Callithrix jacchus: one gene and its partner. The protein of the gene in region 1 interacts with the protein of each later gene in a pairwise test. Links are inferred from orthologs where the notes say so. Each region holds a gene or a part of one and is shown on either strand. Other genes may lie near its edges.

What was found.
Region 2: the proteins of TEX11 (region 1) and CCDC198 interact in binary tests that used the Homo sapiens proteins (3 or more experiments, as listed by UniProt). The two-hybrid records come from large-scale screens. The link is inferred for Callithrix jacchus from reciprocal best matches to the Homo sapiens genes TEX11 and CCDC198.

Annotation. Positions count from the first base shown.
Region 1 is NC_133524.1:67,901,115-67,904,934, forward strand, and holds part of TEX11 (testis-expressed protein 11), read right to left. Parts: intron 2,185-3,820; coding exon 2,144-2,184; intron 819-2,143; coding exon 732-818; intron 1-731. UniProt on the Homo sapiens protein: Regulator of crossing-over during meiosis. Involved in initiation and/or maintenance of chromosome synapsis and formation of crossovers.
Region 2 is NC_133509.1:92,134,914-92,139,510, reverse strand, and holds the start of CCDC198 (factor associated with metabolism and energy), read left to right. Parts: upstream 1-1,521; 5' UTR 1,522-1,660; coding exon 1,661-1,883; intron 1,884-4,356; coding exon 4,357-4,439; intron 4,440-4,597. UniProt on the Homo sapiens protein: May be involved in tuning the metabolism, energy expenditure, and excretion processes.

The DNA of each region.
Region 1 (3,820 bases):
GAACCACTGTGCCTGGCCGCCTCCACAAGTTTTAAAATCACTTTTATTGAAATAGAGCCATTATAAAGTATATTACACAACTCATAATTGTACAGCTTACTGAATTTTCACAAAGTGGAAATATTCACGCATCTGGCACCCAGATCAAGAAAGATCTTGAACATTACCAGAAACCCTGAAGCTCCTACAACTTACAAGTCCAACTCCTTTTCTAGGATAACCACTATCCTGACTTCTAACACCATATATTAGTTTTGCCTGTTTTTAAAATTATAAATAAAATGAACAATGCAATATGTATTCTTCAATGTCTGGCTTCTTTTGCTCAACATTATGTGATTCATCCACATTGTTGTATATAGTTTATTTTTGGTCAATCACATTTAGAAATAAATTAAGTATTTCAAACCAAGTTCAGGAGTACAACCTTGGGGACCTGTAGTTATAGTTTATTCATTAGTGTAATCTTAGACTCATTCCTATAGAAAAGGAAGACAACTAATGTCCATTGAGAATCTACTATGATACCAAGTACATATGCTGTTTCATTTAAAACCCTTAATAACTATATGAAGTATATATAATTATTTCCATTTTATAAAGTAATGAAACAGATTAAGCAAGTTATCACTGTACCCACAGTTACAAATGAAAGATCCAGATTTTGAAATCACATCTGTCTGATTCCACCCCCCCACAATGTTTCCCATAGCCAAAGAATTTCCTCTTACCCATTTTTCGAAACCACTGAGCTTCATTAGCTCTTGACTCCAAACTGAAGGCTTCTTCACCATTAGGCTGAGAAAGTTTCACAAAGGCTGCATCAAACAGGAAAATTTGATACTGAGAGTTTTATCTTATACTCTAGCAAAGTTCTTTAATCCTGCTTTAAGAACAGTCTTACAGGAGTTTGAATTTAGAAAGTTCTTTTTTGTGTGTATGTGTGTGGGTGCACACCAAAAGTAATTAAAATGACAAAAAGCATTACTGAGTTCCAAGAAGTTGTTAATTCAAACTCTGGGAACAAACATGTCTTTGGAGAGATTTATAATTTTAATCAGTGCAATCATTCACCACCTGAGGTGGAAAGATATGATTTACATGTGAGGAAATAAAGAACAGAAACAATTGTTTAAAAGACTGAACTAGAGGACTGAGAATTGGAAGAGTATCAATACACTGACATAATATTTACTGAACCAGCAAGCTCAGGACAGAACCAGAACATGTTATCATTATCAGAAAGCATTTATTACATACCCGATGTCCTTCTGAGAAATAAGAATGCCATCCAACAAAGTTTTTCTCTTTTGAAAAGAAGTGGTTTGGTTTCTAAACTACTTTGCTATGTTTAATACCCTGTTGACAGGCATTTGAGGTATAAAATTGAGATACTGGAATAAGCAGGATAGAATTTCTAAGATATGAACTTTTTTGGTGTGTTTGGACATAAGGAAAGAGGTACATGGACAGTAAAAATGGGAGATCTGTTAAAAGGGATGCCATGTAAGAAGGCATGTAGTTGGAAAAAGAAATGTTATATAGCTAGGAGATTAGCTTGAATAAAGTGGACAGGGAAAAATTATTAGTAGATAAGGCAGATGGTACAGACTTGGGTGGAGAGCTTCAAAATAAGAGACTATACAATCTGAATTTGATTCAGAGGGTATGGAAAACCAGCAGGGTTCAGGGTATTTTTATTTGTCTTGATCCTTTTTCACCTGTTCACTTCTTAGATTAGGATCAAGTGGCTACTAGAAAAGAAAGGTGGAGGGACAAAGAGGGTGAGAAAGGAGGAAGGGAGAGAAGGAAAGGAGGGAGGGAAGGGGAAGGACAAAAGGAAGGAAAAAAGAATGGGAGGACGGGAGGACGGGAGGGAGGGAGGGAAGGAGATGTCCTTAAAACAAATAGGAATTAAAACAGAGCTGAAATCACATTTGGAGATGAATGCTAATGATGACACACTTTTTTTTCTCTGCTTGTGAATGAAGAAACCAAAATAGACTCCTGTAGCAAACATTAATAAGAAGCATGAAGCTTAACTCAAACATAAGGTTAAAGTCCGTGTGCTCAGTGTACTTGGAGAATTCAATAGAGAATGGAGGCAAGATGAAGGACTGAATATAACCATGGAGCTATTTACCTCTATTCAGGCAAGTCAAAAGTCGATCCATTTCTTTCATTCTAAAAATAAAGAAAAGAATATTTTCCAACTGTTCCAAATCTTTACTATAAAACCTAACTAAAAAGGGACACTATTTGTACCTGAGAATTGAGCTAAGAAAATGCAAAATTGTGAAGCTTTTTACTCAGGACTTCAATCTATCATTTCAACAATCTTCTTCCTCACTGTAGGGTACAGTTACTCATTCCCAGTGCCCTCATATTTTTTTTTCTCTTCTACTTCTTCATATACTCTTAGCAAAAGATTTCAACAACTGACAAGATTTTATATTGTAGGGTCATAATACTTGAGAGCAGGTGGTGATCTCTGTGATTTATAAGCTTTTTCTGAAGAGGGGGAACTAGAACCCTATTTCAAATAAAATTGTATAGAAGTCTAATATACATGAAAAGATTAAAGATAAAAGTTGAGCTGCTATGGTTGAACAAGGAGTGGGTGGAGGCTTGGAGCTTCACATTCCTGGAAGTCCTTGAGGCAATGCCACGAAATTTTCAGGGTTCTTAGGAATGCAGTTTAGAAAACTACTTATCTTGTATAGACACATCATTTTAAAGATGAAGAAAAAAGGGTAGACCCAGGTCTCTTGACCCCTCTGTCAAACTTCTTTAATTTAACAAAAAACTTCTGGCTTCTAGTTGTGCATGTAAGGAGCTTGGAAGTTGCCACTCTGTCCTAACAAGTAAAAAGCTGAACACACTGAAAAGTCATTAACTCGTCTTAGACCTATAAGAGAGGTGAGGAAAAAGGGAAAACTGCTGCCACAAAGATTAGAGAGACAGGCAAAGATAGGGAGTCACAGCTTACTAGAGCAGAGATTCAAAAGTGGAAACCACCATGGGAACCAATGCCAGAGTAGGAAAACTTGAAGCATAACTGAAAAATCACTGGAGGCTCAGTGTGGACAAGTCTGAGTTAAAAGACTCAGGAGAACCCAGTGATAGAGGGGCCTCCACAATTTTGTGAGTTTTGCCTCCAGGAACTTGGTTAGATATTCAGTGAATATTGAAGCAAAATCTCTTTATGCATCTTGCAGGGGGCAGAGAAAACAAAATACTTTAAAACATGCCAGAGTACTCTGTTCTTAACAAGTCTTGCCCCCAAGAGAAATTGCTTAACCACAGCCTGACCTTCTGGGGTATACCAGAGCCAAACTGATCTGGGAGAAGGGAAATACTCACATTCAGTCTACTCTAGCCATCCTGTCCCATCTAATGGTGGAGAAAAACACCTGAGAAGCACTTGTCAAGTTCACATCCGCTAAAAGACCAAGACCTAACAACTATAGGACTAAAGAATGCTTCTCAGCCAGGTGCAGTGGCTCATACCTGTAATCCTAGCATTCTGGTGGTCAAGATGGCAAGATTGCTTGAATCCAGGAGTTTGAGACTAGTCTGGGAAACATAGTGATACCCCATTTCTACAGAAAATTAAAAAATTAGCCAGGAATGGTTACACACGCCTGCAGTTCCAGCTACTCTGGAGGCTGAGGTGTGTGGATCACTTGGGCCTGGGGAGGTCAAGGCTGTAGTGAGCCATGATCATGCCACTGCACTCCAGTGTGGGTGACAGAGTGAAATACCATCTCTTAAATAAATAAATAAATAAACAATAAAATAAAATAATGCTTCCCCTCTC
Region 2 (4,597 bases), on another chromosome or scaffold:
AAGTCCACAGTTTTTGGTACAATGTCTAGTTCATTTGTTAGCTCGCAATACATTTCCCTGCCCTTAGAAATACTTAAATAGGTAGTACCCCAAAATGAATCTTACTAGATCTGGTTCAAGTATTTTTATCTTTCTAATTAAACTAGTCTGTAGTTACCAGAGGTGGTTTTGTTTGCAGATACTGTTAATATATTAGTCTTTACTTATAAATCTCTCTGCTGCAGAGAAAATGATATAGAAACTGCAAAGAGAGTAAGTAGGAAAAAACTAAACTCAGGCATCTTTTTAGATAAATGCTATTGTCTATCAAGACTTACCAAACGCCACATTAGTCCTTAGGAAATGGATTGTGCAAATATGAAAAATAAATTTTCTTTTAATTTCTCTATGGAGATGTAATGAAAACACAAGTAATCTGTGGTCATGAACAATTAGAACTTGAAAGTTAGTCCCCCTTCTAAGTATAAAGAAAGTATAAAATAAAAATCACCCACAATCCCACCATTCAAAAATCACTACTCAATATTTCAGCACATTTCCTTCCAATCTTTTTTTCTATTTTAAAAATCATAATAGGCCAGGCACGGTGACTCATGCCTGTGATCCCAGCACTTTGGGAGGCTAAAGTAGGCAGATCACTTGAGGTCAGGAGTTTGAGATCATCCTGGCTAACATGGTGAAACCCCTTCTCTACTAAAAATAGAAAAATTAGCCAGGTGTGGTGGTAGCAGGTGCCTGTAATCCCAGCTTGAGTGACTGACTCAGGAGAATCAATTGAACTGGAGAGGTGGAAGTTGAGGTGAGCTAATATTCTGCCACTGCTCTCCAGCCTGGGTGACGGAGAGAGACTCTGTCTCAAAAATAAATCACTTAATTTAATTTAATTTAAAAACATAGTAAATAGGCTATCTTTAAAAACTCAAGGTTTACTTAGACCATTTATTAAAGAAGTTTGTCCCCTCATCCCCAGGAAAAAATTTTCTATTATCCTCCTGACCTGCAATGCATTCATCCCCTTCAAAGGCAACTCATCAACAGAAAAATCAAATGACACTTTAGCCACTCAGCTGCTTTCCTTCATATTTGAAGCATAAATCATTTAATTAAAATTAAAGATTAACAAAGCCTTGGTCATTGGCATGCATCCTCTTAATTCCAAAGATGGCTTAGCTATTCTTAGCTGTCAGTTTTTTACAAAGGTATTTGCAATGAAAGGGTCAACTTTAGACTTCTCTAAACCTCTGCTCTACCTCTCTCTCTCTCTCTCTCTCTCTCTCTCTCTCTCTCTCTCTCTTTCTTTCTCTGTTAATAACCTTCCTGGTGTTAGACTGGTGTTAGATATTTGTTTAATAATCAATAGTGGCTTCTTTTCCTATCATTGAGTATTTCAGAAAGTAGCATAACCAAGTCAATGTTTAACTGGATTCTTTGGGTCTGAAGTGGCAAAGTTGAAGGAAGTCTCCATGGAAACCAGCCTCCCAGGAAGTGGCCAGAAGGGTTAGTGTGCAGTGATATAGAGCTAGAAGGATGCCTGCTAGAAGGAAATGACTGCTTTGTAAAGCCAGGGTAAACTTCTGAAATGCCTTGATTAAAACAAGCTATATTAAAGACCCCAAAACCACTTCAGTCGCAGCTTTCCTCTGAATGTCTTTCACATGAAATGGGCCTGAGTCGCTCTAAGGCTCACCCTAGGGTGATCAAAGTAGCACCTTTGCAAAACAAAGAGGGAGAGACTCCCTCGGCTGGCCCTGTGGACTTTGCATTCAATCAGAATTTGGAAGAAAAGACTTCATATTTGCCGGCAAGACTGCAGGACCAGAATAAAGCTTCGGAAGGGCAGCTGCCACCTTTACAAGAAACCTCGTATGGAAGATATTCTGCAGGTAAACATAAAACCCAGCACGAGATGTGTGCATCTGGATCAAGGAGCATTATTAATAGATTTATCTGACTGTCTCCATGATCTCAAAAAGTTCCGAAATTACTGAAATGTAAAGGAATTTAGGCTATCTTTGAAAACTCAAACAGATCTTTCAATGAAGATTAAATGTCAATTGAAAGTATTCTGGGTACATTAGAGTGGGAGTATAAACTGCACAAAGGGCTTTTCACTGTTCTATATGAGAAGGAAAAATCATTTCCTTTCAGCTCAGTTTGTAATGCTTTCAATGTTTATACCTAGCTTTGCCAGACGATTAAAATTATATAGATACTAATGTGATAAACGATAGCAATCACGTTTCAGTTAGATTCTAAATTTAAATCATTCTCTCCAGTACAGTTTAATGCACCAGGCTTTGTGGTTTTCAAAACAGCACTTTAGGAGTGAAGTCATTCTAACGTGAATTTTGAAACCATCCTAAACAGAATTGATTTATTGCAGTCCAGAGGAGTGGATGAGTCACCCTTTCCCAGCCCCACATTCTTCATGGTCGTCTGCAGAACGAACAGAATTCTTTAACATTATGATTGGAAGCTCTAAGCCTGAAGTGGCTATAAATTATCCTGGGATATTTTATAAGCCATGTAAAATATTTTATGATGGCCACAATGATAATTAAACAGATATTCTCACTTAGAAAGAGAAATATATGTTTATAATATACACATACGTATACATGTATATTGTTTTCCCTTTTCTTCACCTTCTGGATCATTAACGCCAAGAAGTTTCCCTTATTGGAAGCCTTGTTCAGAAAGCCTCACTTTTTCTTTTGGTACCTAGTAAATCTTGCCTGGAATGATTTTTTATGGCTACTGTCTGGAGAACTGATAACCTTTGGTTGGTTCCATATGACCTATTTTTATGTTCTTTATACTCTCCAAGTTCTTAAGCACATGGATGGGAATTTTCCTCTTAAAATTTTTTAATGGTAGATAGATATATAGGTGATTAGACATGATTTTAAAAATGGAGCATGAATGTGTAATAAGAGTATGCAATGCTCCTCTTGAAGAATTCCTTTTTTATTCAAACTCCCTTCCAGAGTTTTAAGATTTTGGTAACAGAGACTCTTTTTAAAAAAAAAAAAAAAGATTTTGGTAACTGAATAAATGGTGAAAGCTGATTCATGTGCTTTAGAGTCCTAACTGGAAAATGTGCTTATGTTTGAAATGACAAAATCACATTAAATATAAATAACCAGGAGATCATGAGGATTCTGATAAGTATTTTCCATATTCTTACCCCAGCTCCATCAAATACCAAATCGTATGACCTTGGGCAAGTTACTTCATCAATTTTTTTCACTTGTAATCAAGGGTAAAAATAAATGCCTGACATAGCCTATGCCATTTGAGGAGAATCTAATTAAATAATGAAATAATATCACTAAGATCATAAAACAAAATAAGTAGTAGGAAGCTTCTGAAAAAAAAATAGCTGAAAATACTTACATTTTTAAATCCAATATGTTTGTTGTTCTTTCTGTCCTGCTCAGTACACTGGCATCTTTTCAAAAGAAAATAAGGACATGGTTTCCATCCCACTAAAAGTTAGAACAAAGTTCCTAAAATGGTCATTCACATGTCTTAAGGATAGAGATGCATAATTACTCAGGGATTTTTTCATTTTAAATGCAAAGTGGGACTGTAAAATAGTCTACGAAACAATCTAGAAATCAGACTGTGCCCAGATTGTTAAAAGGGAAGGACAAGAATTTCATTCATGCAGCGTTGGTCATGGTAGCACTCCCAAGAGCTCAGGATAATCAAGCTGGAAAATAAAATCCATATGGACCTGTTGAGCCTCTCTGTTTCCTAATAGAGGCTTAACTCTGTATTCCCGGCTTGTTTTATCAGGAAAGAATATTGCTATGTTGTATTATAGTAGCAACCTGTGGACATTTCTTTCCTAGTTAAAAGGACTATTTGATTGTGATTACACATAATCCATTTCTTTCTCATCTTTGTGTAATCACCTATCATCTATTTTATCTGAGAAGATTATTTTCATTTTTTAAAGTTACATGTTTTTTCTGATGTCTTATATTTTGGGGAGGAGATTTTATGGAATTAAAACAAGTCAGTAAATGTCTGTTTACCAGACCAAATTCTGTTTGAAAAATACTTGCAGTCAACATATTGGTAATTTTGTAACTCTTTCCCTGCATATGAACCTGAGTAGGAAGTTAAGAGAGCAGAAATTGAATCCTGGGTCTAGACTAAAATAGTGTCATTTGGACTAATGTGGGTTCCCTGCTTTCTGTGTTTCATCTCCACATTCAACCCATGTTAGATATAAATAACTGAAAAGGTACAAAATTGTGTTGACAAACTCTAGTAACCAATGATTGCCTGGTGTAATTGTAAATTATATTTAATGATTTACTCTTTTTTATTCTCCAATCCTTCAAGCTTCCAGAGATGTGTATTTTGACATCCCATTGGAACACAAAGAAACAAGTATTATTAAAAGGCATCCACCCCAAAGACTGCAAGTAAGATGAATTTAAAAGGCTTCATAAGGAATTTCTTGGATATAATGGTAACATCCCTTTTTAAACTGTAATCATCAAAGAGAGATATTGATAATGACCAGGCTATTAATGAGAATGTTCTTAAAGAAAATGTCATCATTTGCAAAGATGATGCTACT